Sus scrofa: one gene and its partner. The protein of the gene in region 2 purifies or fractionates together with the protein of the main gene of each other region. This does not show direct contact. Links are inferred from orthologs where the notes say so. Each region holds a gene or a part of one and is shown on either strand. Other genes may lie near its edges.

Region 1 (8,071 bases), on a different chromosome or scaffold from region 2:
GGGAACTGTGCCGTTGTACACAGCACACACTTACCCTACCTTGCTTATGCCTGGATGGTTGTGACAGAGAAAGAGGAGCTTCTGTCTTGGTTCCGCCATTGCCATGTTGGATCTCTGTTGCAGCAGCTGACCTTATAGTCTAACTAATACAGTCCATTCACAGGGGGAAGGATTATTCTCATTACTCCTGCAGAGTGGCTTTGAGACTGCATTAGGCTAAATCGTAAGAATTAACTTTCTCTTCTCAGTAAAAGATATTATCATTGCTCAGGTCAAAACCTAGGAGTCTTGGAGTTCCCGTTGTGGCTCAGTGGTAATGAATCCAACTTGTATCCATGAGGATTCGGATTCAACCCCTGGCCTCTGAGTGGGTTAAGAATCTGGTGTTGCCATGAGCTGTGATATAGGTCGAAGATGTGGCTCGGATCTCATATTGCTGTGGTTGTGGTGTAGGCCGGCAGCTACCGCTCCAATTGGACCCCTAATCTGGGAACGTGCATATGCCACAGGTGCAGCCTTAAAAAGCAAAAGCAAAAGAAACAAAAGAAAACAAACTCCCCCCCAAAACCCCCAAATTAGGAGTCTTTATTTTTCTTTTAGATTTTTTCCCTGCTGCTGTGGGCAGGGAGGTCACAATGAAAGAAAGAGAGGGATCAAAGATGATTTGTAATCTCCTAATAAGTATGCTGAGTGAAAGATGGCTAAGAGTAACATGCTGTATGATTCCATGTCTATAAAGTTCTAGAATATGCAAACAAATCTAAAGAGACTTAAGAAGATCAGTAATTGCCAGAGAGATTGGGGGGGGGGAGACTAAGGGGGAAGCAGAAGGAGCATTAGATAACTTTTGTGGCGATAGATTTATTATCACAATTATGAAGATGGTTTCCTAGATGGGAACTTATCAAATTATACACTTTAATATATTCAGTTTATTATATGCCATTATACCTGAATAAAGATTTTTTTTTTAACAGAGAGTTTCCTGGTGGTCTAGCAGTTAGGATTTAGTGGTTTCATTGATGCAGGGTTTAATCCCTGGTCTGGGAAGTGAGATCCCGCATAAAGCAGCTGCCTGATAACTGTGTGACAAGTAATGTAAACAAAAACAAAAACAATAAAGGAAGAGTTTGCTGGACCTTGAAAGGCAAACACAACAATGCTAACTGCTACTTAATTACAACTATTTATCCAGTATCTACTTGTGCATTGTGTGAAACTTGGAACTTTTCACCTTGATCTTATTCTTTGCCCACATAACACTGTTAGGGTAATATTATTATTCTCTCTCTGTCTCTGTCTCTCTCTCTCTCTTTTTCTTTTTCTTTTCCCCCCAGGGCTGCACCTGCAGCATATGGAAGTTTCCAGGCTGAGAGTTGAGCTGGAGCTGGAGCCGTTGGCCTATGCCACAGCCACAGCAATGCAGGATCTGAGCCTCATCTTTGACCTACACCACAGGTCACAGGCAACACCGGATCCTTAACCCCTTGAACAAAGCCAGGGGTTGAGCCCTAATCCTCATGGATGTGAGTTGGGTACATTGGCACTGAATCATGATGGGAACTCAATAATATTGTTATTTCCATATTAAATAAGGAGACAAACTCTATTGCTACACAGTAAGTAGAACCAGACATATCTAGGCACAAGGTAGACCAAACCTTAGCTACCTTGGAATCTGTCTGGTTCTAAATTACCTGCCCTTTCCTCTCTCTTACAGGTTTTTAGACTAGGCAAAACATCCATTTCTTTCATTTCTAAAAGTCCAATTACCAGCCATCCCTCTGGTTCAAATGCCAGATATTTTACATAAGATTCTCAAAATGTGGTTTGCAGACCACTTGGGGCATTTGCAAAGGTGCAAATTTCTGGGCCCTGATCTCAAAGATTCTAAGTAATTAAGTTTGGGATAAGGACCAGAGAATCTCTGTGTGCGTGTTTAAAATATACATATTTTATTTTATTCATTAATTTTTTTGTCTTTTTGCCTTTTCTAGGGCTGCTCCCTTGGCATATGGAGGTTCCCAGGCTAGGGGTCTAATCGGAGCTGTAGCCACCGGCCTACGCCAGAGCCACAGCAACGCGGGATCCGAGCCACGTCTGCGACCTACATCACAGCTCACGGCAACGACGGATCCTTAACCCATTGAGCAAGGCCAGGGGTCGAACCCGCAACCTCATGGTTCCTAGTCGGATTCGTTTCTGCTGCGCCACGACGGGAACTCCAAAATATATATATTTGAAACAAACTAATTTGGTTTGTGAGAACCACTGTGTCAAGAAGGTCTTCCATGAGTGTTCAGTATAACTAAGTTCTTTGGAGGAACAGTTCGGCTAAGCCTTCCGGTTTTCTCTATATTGGCATGTATGAGGCGTGGGCTGAATTTTCGTTTTTTGTTTTTGTCTTTTTAGGGCCGCAACATATGGAGGTTCCCAGGCTAGGGGTTGAATCAGAGCTGTAGCTGTCGGCCTGCATCAGAGCCACAGCAGCCATCCCAGTCGTGTCTGTGATCTCCACCACAGCTCAGGCAACACCGGATCCTTAACCCTCTGAGCCAGGCCAGGGATCGAACCTGCAACCTCATAGTTCCTAGTCCGATTCGTTTCCTCTGCACCAGGATGCAAACTCCTGGGATTCTTTGTCCTCCCTGACAGCACAGGGACCCTGACTGAAGAGGTTTTGGCCTCATCTACATACATCTCAATTTAGCAGCACAAACTAAGGTATTTGTCAAAAATACTTAAAACCATGCACGAAATCTGCGCGTGGTGCGGTGTCTGGAAGGATGTGGAGAAACAGGCCAAGCCTATAGGTCACGAGAAACATGTGCTTTTAATCGGAATCTAGGGTTCTCTGGGTGGAGGGGGGATTCCTAGCGCTGGAGAGCGGAGGAAACCAAGCAGCTCGGCTCCTGCGCAGGCGTAGAAGGAAAGGGGACGATCCGCCAAGGCGCGCCCTTCCCCCACCCTTCTTTCCGGCCTTCTCCCAGCGCGCAGGCGCAGAGAGGGAATCAAGATGGCGGCTCCCGTGGATCTGGAGTTGAAGAAGGTAAAAGAGGGTTTTGAGCAGGCAGGCTTCTCTTTGGAAGCTAACGGGACCGTAGACAAGAATATCGAGTGAGACCCAAGTCCCGCGGAGGGAAGAAGGTCCCAGGGCATTGGGGAATGCTTTCCCAGAGTCCTTCAGGCGGGACTGGGTCGCCTTAGGCTGGAGTCGGGGCGAGCAGCTCTTTGCTGGAAGAGAGCTGGTAGGGCTGGGGCTGGTTAAGTCTGGCGGGCCGATAGCTGTTTTGAGTCCCTTGTTCCGGGCTCCAGAGCCCTTTCCTTGTTCTTGGAGCCTTCAGTCCTATTGTAAGGCCTGAAGTGAGCGTTTCAAGTTGGAGCCCCTTGAGACAGCTTGCCCGAGCTGAGGCATCCGTAATTCTGCATCCTAATTTGCTTTGACAAACTCCAGGTCCAACCTGTGTTTTTAGGCCACTTCTTCAATCCCGTACCTCTAAGGTCGCGACATACTCTTAAATCAGATATTCTCAGCACTGTTTGGCTCCCTCCCTAGCCCCTCCACCCCTCCCCTTTTAAAGGGTTTGTCAAAAAAGAAGCAAAGTCTAGTGAAAGTTTTCTAAATGGAATCGGTATCAGAAGGAATTGGGTTTCTCCCTTCCCATAGTTGCCTGTAAATGTGTTGTTACTCAGAGACGTTTTTGCCACTTAAAGAATTGTCAGGATTGTGACACCGCTACCAACTCAAAAGCATATCTTTTTTTTTTTTTTTTTTTGAGAGGGGGATGGGTTGGGGATTGGAAAGGATCTTAGACTTCATCTGCTCTAAACTTTTACTTTTCTAGAAATAAAAACAGTTACAGAAAAGACTCAGGCCATGGTTAGGATCAGAATCCAATATTTTCTGCCTTCCCGCCTTTTGGCCATTAGTTTAGGTACTTCAGAAGGGCATCTTGTACTAAAACCATTCCGGTCAACCTTTGTGTCAGACATAGGGCAGGTGAAATAGCTTTTGCACCCAATAAGCAAAGCTGTTTACTATTGCTCTGAGGATTTGTGTATGTCCTTTTTGCCATTTTTGTTTCGAAACTTGTATCTTTAGTCTTTACGTGGTCTCTAATGCTGTCCCATCTTAGCTTTAACAATATACTAGGTTCCTTAGCAAACTGTGTCGTAAAGCATCCTAAAAGCCCCCCTCCTTTTTTTTTTTTTCTGTTCAAATTAAGTCAGGGTTTAGTGAAAGAGCCAACAATAGAGTACAGCTGTGAATGGGTTTACCTCAGTATTATTTGAATTTGTTGCTAGGAAACCTGTGGGCAATGAATGCAAACTAAGAAAATGTTACGGACTTAAATTGATTGCAGACAAATTGATTACAGACTTAAACGATTATAGACTTAAATGAGTACAGACTTGAATTGGGTAGCTTTGACAACCAGTGAAATTAACTCAAAAAAACTTGTTTAAGGATATTCTAATGTCTTTATAATGTCTTTTTTTTTGGTCATTTTTGGCCACCCCACAGCATATGGAGCTCCTAGGCGAGGGATCAGATTGGAGTTACAGCTGCGACCTCAGCTGCAGCTGCAGCAATGCTGGATCCCTAATCCACTGTGCCGGTGGGGTTTGAACCCTCATCCCAGTGGCTCCCAAGACTCCACTGGTCCCGTTGCGCCACAGTGGGAGCTCGGGTCTTTTTTTTTTTTTTTGAGTGGAGACAAGTAGGACATTTTAGGCACCTCCTCTAACTCTAAACAAAATTTTGAAACCTTACTAGTAGGTGAGAACAAAGCCAGAGTAGAAGTTAAATAGCAGCTTTTGCCATGCATTGCAGCCACAAAAATTATTATTCAAGTATTAAGGCATAAATTTGACAGGATGTGAAAGTCATTCTAGGCTCTTCAACAAGAGTACCTAGGAGCTTTTTGAGTTAAGGGTACCCAAGGGTCAGATTTGGCTTGGTGTGTGCCTCTGTCATGATATAATTCTTCTTCCAGTGTTTCAAATATTTTCTTTTTTGTCCTTCTCTTAAAATATGCATTTTCTGAATATTACTATAGACAGCAGAACGGAAAGGTTTTTGAACTAGAAGTCAAGAAATGGACTTAAGAGCTCACTTTTAGACCTCTTAGTTGTTCAACCATGTGCAAGTCATTTATATCTCTTTCAAACATTTAGTTACTTAATTTATAAGCTGTGGTGATGAAACTGCTTGCCCTAACTCAGGATTGTTGAGAAGAGTAAATGAGGTATTTATTATTACATCTATTAGTGTTCTCATATTAATATTTACATATTAATAGTTCAAAAAATGTGGGAAAGTGCTTTGAAAACTAGTTGTAAAATATAAATGTAGTGAGTAGTTACATTTATGGTTCTTGTTTTGGATCTCTGGGTTTCATCCGCTGACTGTTGCATTTAGTGCCTATATTACTCCTTGGGTACCTGCTACTTGATATGTTTATTATTTACCATGTCTTTGTTCTGCTGCTTCAAATAGACAGCATCTTTTGAGGACTGGGTAAATTCAAAACAGTTGACCCTTGAACAACACAGGTTTAAACTGCGGGGATCCAATTGTACATAGATTTTTAAAGGTATTACTACAGTACCACACACTGTGTGATTGGTTGAAATCCAGATGTAGAACCAAGGATACAGAGGAACTGCTATATGGAGGGTCAGCTGTAAATTACACTGGGATTTTTTTTTTTTTTTGGCCATGCCTAAGGCATGTGGAAATTTCTAGCCCAGGGACTAAATGTGCTCCACAGCTATAACCAGAATCACAGCAGTGACAACTCCAGATCCTTAACCTCCTAGCCAGGAGGAAACTCCTGTACTCAGCATTTTGACAACATGGAGAGTCAGTGCCCCTAAGCCTTGAGTTGTTCAAGAGTCAAGAATATTTAGCATAGTGGCTTGATCATTTATAATTATATGAACGTTTATTGATGTTTGCGCAGGTAACAAACATCAAATTTTATAACTTTGTCTCAGCAGGCTTTATTTTAATATGTTTAAATTTGACTTAAATATTTTCTGTAAAATGTTTCACTTACTAAATCAAGGACTTTTTTTTTTTTTTTTAAGGCCTTCACAGAGCTTCAAGCTAAAGTTATTGACACTCAACAGAAGGTGAAGCTTGCAGACATACAGATTGAACAGCTCAACAGGACAAAAAAGCATGCACATCTTACAGATACGGAGATTATGACTTTGGTAGATGAGACCAACATGTATGAAGGTGTAGGAAGAATGTAAGTAAAATATATCCTTAAGGGGGTTATCTTGGAAGAGGTTTTGTCTGGATTAAATTGTAAAATTTGTTCACTTTAAAATTTAAATTAAAATATCAGAGTAGCTTTAAAGATTGTCTAGTCAATATCTTCTTTTTTTTTTTTTAAATGAGAAACTGATGTCTTTAATTTTTTTCTTTCTTTTTTTTTTTTTTTTTTTGTCTTTTGTCCTTTCCTAGGGCCGCTCCCACGACACATGGAGGTTCCCAGGCTAGGGGTCAAATCGGAGCTGTAGCCGCCGGCCTACACCAGAGCCACAGCAACGCAGGATCTGAGCTGCATCTGAGACCTACACCACAGCTCAGGGCAATGCTGGATCCTTAACTCATTGGGCAAGGCCAGGGATGGAACCCGAAACCTCATGGTTCCTAGTCGGATTCATTAACCTTTGAGCCGCAATGGGAACTCCTAATTTTTAACTTTGAAGTACATTTTTAAAATATTTATTTCCCTGTTCTTCTCTCTACTTACGTACATAAGCGTGTAACTTGAATGATAAAAACATGATTTGTTATGAAAAGATGTTTATAGTAGTTTTATGGGTGAAGATTGATTTAAGCAGTTGTAGTTTTAACCTCCCCTTAGCAACCTAATTATTAGTAGTCATTCACATTATAAATCTTTTAGTTGTTTGACTAGTGTTGTGAAATAAAAATACTCAGTTGTCATTTAAATACACTCATTCTGTCATACATGAGAAATCTAGTAAATCAATTTACCTATTGTTCTAATTATTATTATATGATTAACCACCTACATTTCACTTTTTTCCTTTTAAAAATATATTACCCTTATGGGAGTTCCTGTCGTGGTGCAGTGGTTAACAAATCCGACTAGGAACCATGAGGTTGAGGGTTCTATCCCTGGCCTTGCTCAGTGGGTTAAGGATCCAGCATTGCCCTGAGCTGTGGTGTAGGTCTCGGATGCAGCTCGGATCCTGCGTTGCTGTGGCTCTGGTGTAGGCCGGCGGCTACAGCTCCGATTTGACCCCTAGCCTGGGAACCTCCATATGCCGCGGGAGCGGCCCTAGAAAAGGCAAAAAGACCAAAAAAAAAAAAAAAAAAATTACTCTTTTGAGAAAAAATAGACCTGCTTTTTGTTTTCTAAGTAGTTAAATAGGAATGGAGAAGCCCTTAGCTACAGGTCACATTCCATCACAATGAGCTCAAAGAGACAGATTTTTTTTTTTTTTTTTTTTTCTTTAAATAAGTAAGAGAGGTACAGGAGGAGGGTTTTCTGAATTTTGGTCTTTGAATATTACTTACTAAGTGGACCATTACTTAAGTTTGGAGATCTTTTAGTTAGAAAGGAATTTGACCTCAGTCTTAGGATGACTTGTTTTGTGATTGATTGGAAGGAAGCATAACATGTGTAACATTTAGTAATGGCTTTGGAATGACATCATGAGAAATAGATCCTACTCTTGACTAGCTAATCCATATCTTTCTGGAAAAGAGATAGAATATGATAAACTGATTTGCTTTCTCAGAATAAATAATATACCACAAATAAATTTTATCTCCAGAGTTCATATTTTTCATTTTAGCTTGTTTTAAAAGGAGATTCTGAGAGTGTGTTATTGGGACACAAATTGGAATGAGGACAGAGTAGAACCCTTGAATGTGTCTATGCAGTGTGAACTGTGTTGTTGTATTTGCTATGGGATAATTTTATCCTTAATGTGAATATCCTTAAGTCTTAAGCTTTTCTAGCATGCTTGTTAATGTCGCACTTGGATTTCACATCATTACTTTAGCCTTTGTTCAAAACAG
Region 2 (7,547 bases):
TATTTTCTCAAAGTAGTTAGAATAGCACAGCACAGTATAAAGAACATTGGTTTCTAAATAGACCAGAGTTTGAATCCTGCCTCTACTTCCCACTTGCTGCTCAGCCTCGAACGTATTATTTTACAACTTTGAGCCTCTGTTTCTTTAACTGAAATAGGCGGTAACAATACTTAGAGAGTTTCCACGAGAAACAGAATGTGCTTTCAGTATTGCAAGTAGATGCTTAATATATATTAGTTTCTGTGATGATAGGACGCAGTACCCTAGTTTGGTTTGTATCTCTATTGCCTTATCTCCAAGGCAGACCATCACTCCAAGACAGACTTCTTGGCACTTTCTTCTGTTCCCTTCACACGTTGTGCTGTAGACATAGCTAATGTTTGTTGAACACTTACTAGTAGCTGTTGTATGTCCTTCTGGGTATTTTACACATGCTAACTCACTTGATCCCCTGTGAGGTGGTTACCTCTTTTTCATTTTGCAGATGAGGAAATTGAGACAAAGCAAAAGGTTTAATAACTTCCCCGAGGTCAGTACATCTAGTATGTGATGAAGCCAGCATTCAAAACAGGCAGCCCCTGTCTTCTAACCATAAACCTGTGCTGCTGTAGTTAATTCTTCTTGCTGCAGTCTAACCTCCTAATAACATGTGCTAGAAACTTCGACCTCACTCAGTCTCTTTCTTCCTACAGTGGTCCTTCTAGGAAGATGCTATCTCCATTTTACATGCACGACTCAGCCATCGCTTCAGCCTCACCTTTTCAATTTCTTTTACTGTGTCTAGCTTGATGGCTTCATAATTCACTCCCTTGCTGTGTTTCTCTTCCTTTTTCTTCTTGTCTTGTTTTGGCTAAAATATTCCCTTATTGCTAGTAAGCATGGATAAGAATAATGATTTAGAGATCCCATAAACTGTAAGATTTTTGAATTTAACTTACTTACAGTGAAGGACTAAGGTTCTTTAAACCATTGGAAGCCTCTTATAAAGTCTCCTTAAAGTTTCCATGTAGTTTCACCTATTCCTGATCCTGATCTAATTAACAAGCTTTTCTTCAAGGACCCAGCATGTGTAGAATACATTAAAGAAAAAAAAAATGCCGTTCGGTTTTATTGCTTTTCTTTTGCTTAATTATTCCTGTAACAGAAGATCCTTCTGTTTGCCCTTTAGGTTTACTTTATTTCAACCACTTCATACTTAAGGAGGCATTTGTGGCTTGTCTTGGGAACCCAATGACCATATTTAGCATGACTTCTATGGCAGCACTTGTTTAGTTAAAAATTTAAGTAATAAAATTGGTAATTTTGGGAGTTCCTGTCATGGCTCAGTGGTTAATGAATCCGACTGGGAACCAACCATGAGGTTTCGGGTTTGATCCCTGGCCTTGCTCGGTGAGTTAAGGGTCCCGCGTGGCTGTGGCTGTGGTGTAGGCTGGCGGCTACAGCTCCGATTGGACCCCTAGCCTGGGAACCTCCATATGCCATGGATGTGGCCCAAGAAATGGCAAAAAGACAAAAAAAAAAAAAATTGGTAACTTTGGCATACAACCTGTCGAGTCATTTTTGTGGCTGCGAGTGCTGCATGGAGGATGCATAAAGCAGACAAGGTCATCTTTCTTTCCTTGTATATAAATAAAAAGAGGAAGGTGGAAGAGGAATAACTTATATACACAGTGTATGTGCGCTCTCTGAAATGGCCTCTAGCTTTTTATAACTGCTTCTTTCTTAGTTAAAAAGCAAGCTTTTGGAGAAAGAGAAACACAGGCTCTTTTTCTGTCTTAAAAATAAACTTAGGAAGTTCCCGTCGTGGCGCAGCAGAAATGAATCTGACTAGGAACCATGAGGTTGCAGGTACGATTCCAGGCTTCGCTCAGTGGGTTCAGGATCCCGGCATTGCCGTGAGCTGTGGTGTAGGCTCGGATCTGGCGTGGCTGTGGCTGTGGTGTAGGCTGGCAGCTGTAGCTCCCATTTAACCCCTAGCCTGGGAACCTTCACATGCCATGGGTACGGCCCTAAAAAGACAAAAAAAAAAAAAAACAAAAAACCCTGAAAAACCAAACAAAAACCAAAACTTAAAGCAAAAATCAGAGGTATAAATTCTCAAATTTGTAATGTTTTCTTTTGCTCTTAAAGGAAGATGTAGATTCCTTCATGAAACAGCCTGGGAATGAGACTGCAGATACAGTACTGAAGAAGCTGGATGAACAGTACCAGAAGTATAAGTTTATGGAGCTCAACCTTGCTCAAAAGAAAAGGAGGTAAGTGCAAAAAGGATTACGTTTTTAAAATTAATATTGTGTGGCTTAAACTTTTAAAAGATCAAAACATAATTTACATACAAATAAAATGTCTGTGTGTTGGCTGTTCAGTTTGATGAATTTTGATAAACATATCCACTTGTGTAACCATTGCCCAGATCAATACATATAGGACATTTCTGTTACCCCAGGAAGTTCCCTCCCGCCCCTTTCCTGCCAACCCTGCCCACTCCCAGAGATAACCACTGTTACGATTATTTTCACCATGGTATGGTGTTGTGTCAGTAAATTAGTTTCTTTTTAGTGCTGAGTCATTTTTCATTGTATGTGGATGTAACCACAATTTTGGTCTATTTTTTGTCTGTTTGCCTGTTGATAGACATTGGGTTGTTTTCCCATTTGGTCTTAAGTCTTTGTGTGGACATATGCTTTCATTTCTCCTGGGTTGCCTAGGGGTGGAATTGCTGATGTGTATGGCAAATGTATGTTTAATCTTGTAAAAAACTGCCAGAAGTCCTCCAAGGTGGCTCTACCAGGTTGCACTGCCACCAGCAATTTATGGAGTTCCTCATTCTCGCCAGCACTTGGTATTGTCAGTCTAAATATGCTTATGGAAACATAATAGAAAGAATTTTTTTTTTTTTTTTGTCTTTTGTCTTTTTGTCTGTTGTTGTTGTTGTTGCTATTTCTTGGGCCGCTCCCGAGGCATATGGAGGTTCCCAGGCTAGGGGTTGAATCGGAGCTGTAGCCACCGGCCTACGCCAGAGCCACAGCAATGCGGGATCCGAGCCGCGTCTGCAACCTACACCACAGCTCACGGCAACGCCGGATCGTTAACCCACTGAGCAAGGGCAGGGACCGAACCCGCAACCTCATGGTTCCTAGTCGGATTCGTTAACCACTGCGCCACGACGGGAACTCCAATAGAAAGAATATTGAGGTCCTTAATTCCAAGGCCTCTAGGATCATAGCATCTTAAATGTCTGGTTCTTCCTTTTCATTTTGCTGAGGTTATAACTTTCCTAAGACTTCATAGCTAATAGACATAGGACCAAAGTACCCTTGCTCTCAATCCTGTATTCCCCTATATTTTTATAGTAGCTTATGAAGTCAGTTCATAGTGATGAATATTTATGGATCTGCTATGCACAGGTGCCAGCATTCTTCTGGCAGTTAAATATTTCTGGAATTCCTCATAGGTACCAGATATTATTTTGGGTGAAAGAAGGTCTAGTATCTGCTTTCAACAGTGACATAGTCTATAGGGGCCTGATAGGTATGTAAATAAGTATGCAGTCAGGGTGCTTGTGGTGCAGAGCAGTGAGCTAATGGCACAACAGGGGAAGGTGTGATCTGAAGGGTACAAAGGGCTCAGGGGAAGCTTCCGAGAGGAGCAGATGGCTGTGTAGAACTTTGAAGGCTGGTTATGAGTGTGGAGGCAAACTAAAGTGAGGAAGGGTGGTCTGGGCATGAGGGTACCACTTCTGCAAAGATAAAAAAGTTTATTTTTTAGGTATATTTTCCCATTTGATTTTGATGACAGTTGAGGAACTTTGAATAAGGGCTGGGTGTTACATGATATGAAAAGTCGTTGACATGGACAGATGAAGGTTGATGAAAGAAAAGGATAGAAAACGCTCTGTGCTCATTTTGGAAAAAATGTATATGTGCACAGAAATATCTGGAAGAAGGGACACTAATATTATATTAACATTGAAAATCTTTGGGTGGTGGGAATATGATATTTTTTCTTATTTGCAATTAAATGATTGTATTTCGGGAATGATCTGGGCTGGAGATAAAAACTGGGGAGTCATTTAAAGCCGGAGTCTAAATGAGCTGCATCACCAACAGAGTTTATGTAAAAACACAGATCGGGGCATTGCAACAGTATGAAGTTAGGGAGACTCAGTGGATCATAGGGTTCTGGAAGCCAAGCTAAGAAAGTGTATCATGGAGGAGGAAATGATCGCCTGGGCCAAATGCTGCTGATGGCTCACCTCAGTGGGATAAGGACTGAGAATGGACTCAGCAAAGTGGAAGTCACTGCTCATCTGGACGGGAACAGTGGTTCCAAAGAGAATGATAGAATTAGAGACAACAGGAGTTCCCGTTGTGGCGCAGTGGTTAATGAATCCGACTAGGAACCATGAGGTTGCGGGTTCGATCCCTGGCCTTGCTCAGTGGGTTAACGATCCCGCGTTGCCGTGAGCTGTGGTGTAGGTTGCAGACGCGGCTCGGATCACGAGTTGCTGTGGCTCTGGCATAGGCCGGTGGCTACAGCTCCGATTCAACCCCTAGCCTGGGAACCTCCATATGCCGCGGGAGCGGCCCTAGAAATAGCAACAATAACAACAACAACAACAAAAAAGACAAAAGACAAAAAGAAAAAAAAAGAAAAAAAAAAAAAAGAATTAGAGACAACAGATATGGAAAACTTTTGTGAAGAGTTTTATCCATTTTAATAGTGAGTTGGTTGTCTTTTTATTTGTAGGAATTCTGTATATATTGGACACTAGTCCTTTTAGGTTATATGTATGAGACATTTTTCTTTTGTAATGTATCTTTATTTCCCTTTCGATTCTTTTGATGAGTAGTTCTTTGCTTTTTGGGGGCTGCACCTGCGATATATGGAAGTTCTCAGGCTAGGGGTTGAACTGGAGCTATGGTTGCCGGCCTACGCCACAGCTGCATCCAAGCTGCATCTGTGACCTACACCACAGCTCACGGCAACGCTGGATCCTTAACCCACTGAGCGAGGCCAGGGATGGAACCTGAGTCCTCATGGATGCTAGTCAGGTTCGCTAACCGCTGAGCCACGACAGGAACTTTGTTTTCTTCTAAAAGCCTTAAAATGTTCCTTTTCACATCTAACTTCTTAAGCCATCAGAAATTTATTTTTATGTATGGTATATGGTAGGCTTCCAATTTCTTTATGTTTTTAAATAGATACACTGTGGACATACTGTTTGACTCAGCACTTTAATTTTAATGTACTCTGATTTAACAGTCTTTTCCCTTAATGTTTAGTGCCTTTTGTATCTGTTGAAGAAATAACCTAAGTTTGTGAAGATATTCTTAGTATTTTGTTCTCAAAGCTTTGTTGTTTTATCTTTCACACTTAGATCTGTAATTCATGAGATATTCAGAAGTATGTTGCTAAATTTCGAAGCAGTCATGGGATTTTCAAGCATGTTTCTTTGCTCTTTCTGTTTTGTACATTGATAGTTGTATCTGCAGTCTTGGGCCGCTCCTGCGGCATATGGAGGTTCCCAGGCTAGGGGTCTAATCGGAGCTGTAGCTGCCAGCCTACACCAGAGCCACAGCAACGTGTGATCCGAGCTGTGTCTACAACCTACACCACAGCTCACGGCAACGCCGGATCGTTAACCCACTGAGCAGGGGCAGGGACCGAACCCGCAACCTCGTGGTTCCTAGTCGGATTCGTTAACCACTGCGCCACGACGGGAACTCCACACGTTCTTTTTCTTTCTTTCTTTCTTTTTTTTTTTTTTTTTTTTTGTCAACAGTGCTTTGTAGGTTTGTACATTGCTTTTCCATTAAGAGTCAGGTAGTATCTAGTTCTCTTACGATGATACTCACTGCCTAGATCCATTAATTATGAGTTGCGAAATGACGATGTTTTAATTCAGTTATTTATTTTTTACTTATTAGTAAGTTGGCATACTTCTATAAAGAGAAATGTCCCTTCACGTACTGTTTGGTAAAAGTGGCTGCAAGAAATCAGCTCACCCCTCAGTTTGTTCCCTTGCAGGAGTAGCCCTGTAGTTCCTCTCACCTCAACAGCTGTCTGCTGCCTTGTTACTGAGGAAGTGTGTATTTTCTCTGGCTACTTGAACAGCTAGAGGTAGGAGTGCTGGTCTGCTGCCATCTTAACCTGAAACAATTTGTATCCTTTTTTTTTTTTTTCCCCTTTTTACTGAGGCATCTGCAGCATATGGAAATTCCTGGGCTAGGGATCGAATTGGGCCACAGGAAGGCCAGATCTGAGATCTGAGCTGCATCTGTGACAATGCTGGATCCTTCACCCACTGAGTGAGGCCAGGGATCAAACCTGCATCCTCAGGGAGGCAACATCAGGTCCTTAACCCAGTGAACCACAGTGGGAACTCCTTTTTTTTGTTTGTTTTTTTAAAGCTTTTTAGTCTGTTTTATTCAGTATATGCGGTTTGAAAATTATGTCTTCTTGGATTCTCTTGTGGTGTAGCAGGTTAAGGATCTGGCGTTGTCACTGTAGTGGTTCAGGCCACTGCTGTGGTGTGGGTTCGACCCCTGCCTAGGAACTTTTGCATATCACAGGCATAACCAAAAACAGAAAATTATGTCTTCTTGGTGAGTTTAACCCTATATAAAATCCAGCCTATCTTTTTAGATAAAGTAATTTTTTTTTTTTTGGATACTTTCAAGATCATCTCTTTTGGTTTTTTGTTTTGTTTGTTTTTGTTTTGGCCACATTTTTGGCATGTGGAGGTTCCCAGGCCAGGGATCAAACCTGCACTGCAGCTGTAACCAGAGCACACAGTGACAATGCTGGATCCTCAACCTGCCGAGTCACCAGGGAGCTCCACCATTGCTTTTATCTCACTATAAGTTGTCTATGTGAGCATATCTCTCTCAAACTCTTTCTTAACTAACTGTCAGCTTCCTGTAACCATGGTTACCTGTGTGGATTGCTTTTATCCACAGAAGATTTTTCTTTTGCTGTGAGCTGTGAGTCTGTATCAGCCGTGGACCACTTGAGGCCCATTAGAAGTTCTTTCACTTAATAGGAGAGCTCCCCCACTGAGCTGTGAGTCAGGGGCCCAGGCTCAGGTCTGCGGCTGGTACTGGCACCTACTTTTCTCTAGTCCTCACTATTCAACTCAAAGCTTTTATTCCCTTTTACTTTTTTTCTAGAATTTCCCTCTCCTCTGTGATATCAGCTATGCAACAGAAACCGTTTTTGTGCTTGATTTTGAGTTGTTTTGCAGCAGATGACTGTGTAGTTTGGATACTAACTTTTCTGTTTTTTGTTTGTTTGTTTGTTTTTGTCTTTTTGCCTTTTCTAGGGCCGCTCCCACGACATATGGAGGTTCCCAGGCTAGAAGTCGAATCGGAGCTGTAGCCACCAGGCTATGCCAGAGCCACAGCAACACGGAATCCAAGCTGCATCTGCGACCTACACCACAGCTCACGGCAACGCCGGATCCTTAACCCACTGAGCAAGGCCAGGGATTGAACCTGCAACCTCATGGTTCCTAATCAGATTCGTTAACCACTGAGCCACGACGG

Evidence for each region. Proteins that work in one complex are often made in the same cells at the same time.
Region 1: the proteins of VBP1 (region 2) and PFDN1 purify together in Homo sapiens (affinity purification with mass spectrometry; 4 studies listed by BioGRID and IntAct, counting the BioPlex papers as one, with this or other methods). This does not show direct contact. The link is inferred for Sus scrofa from reciprocal best matches to the Homo sapiens genes VBP1 and PFDN1.

The regions. Positions count from the first base shown.
Region 1 is NC_010444.4:142,072,830-142,080,900, reverse strand, and holds the start of PFDN1 (prefoldin subunit 1), read left to right. Parts: upstream 1-2,900; 5' UTR 2,901-3,016; coding exon 3,017-3,049; intron 3,050-6,093; coding exon 6,094-6,260; intron 6,261-8,071. UniProt on the Homo sapiens protein: Binds specifically to cytosolic chaperonin (c-CPN) and transfers target proteins to it. Binds to nascent polypeptide chain and promotes folding in an environment in which there are many competing pathways for nonnative proteins.
Region 2 is NC_010461.5:125,487,077-125,494,623, forward strand, and holds part of VBP1 (prefoldin subunit 3), read left to right. Parts: intron 1-2,130; coding exon 2,131-2,255; intron 2,256-7,547. UniProt on the Homo sapiens protein: Binds specifically to cytosolic chaperonin (c-CPN) and transfers target proteins to it. Binds to nascent polypeptide chain and promotes folding in an environment in which there are many competing pathways for nonnative proteins.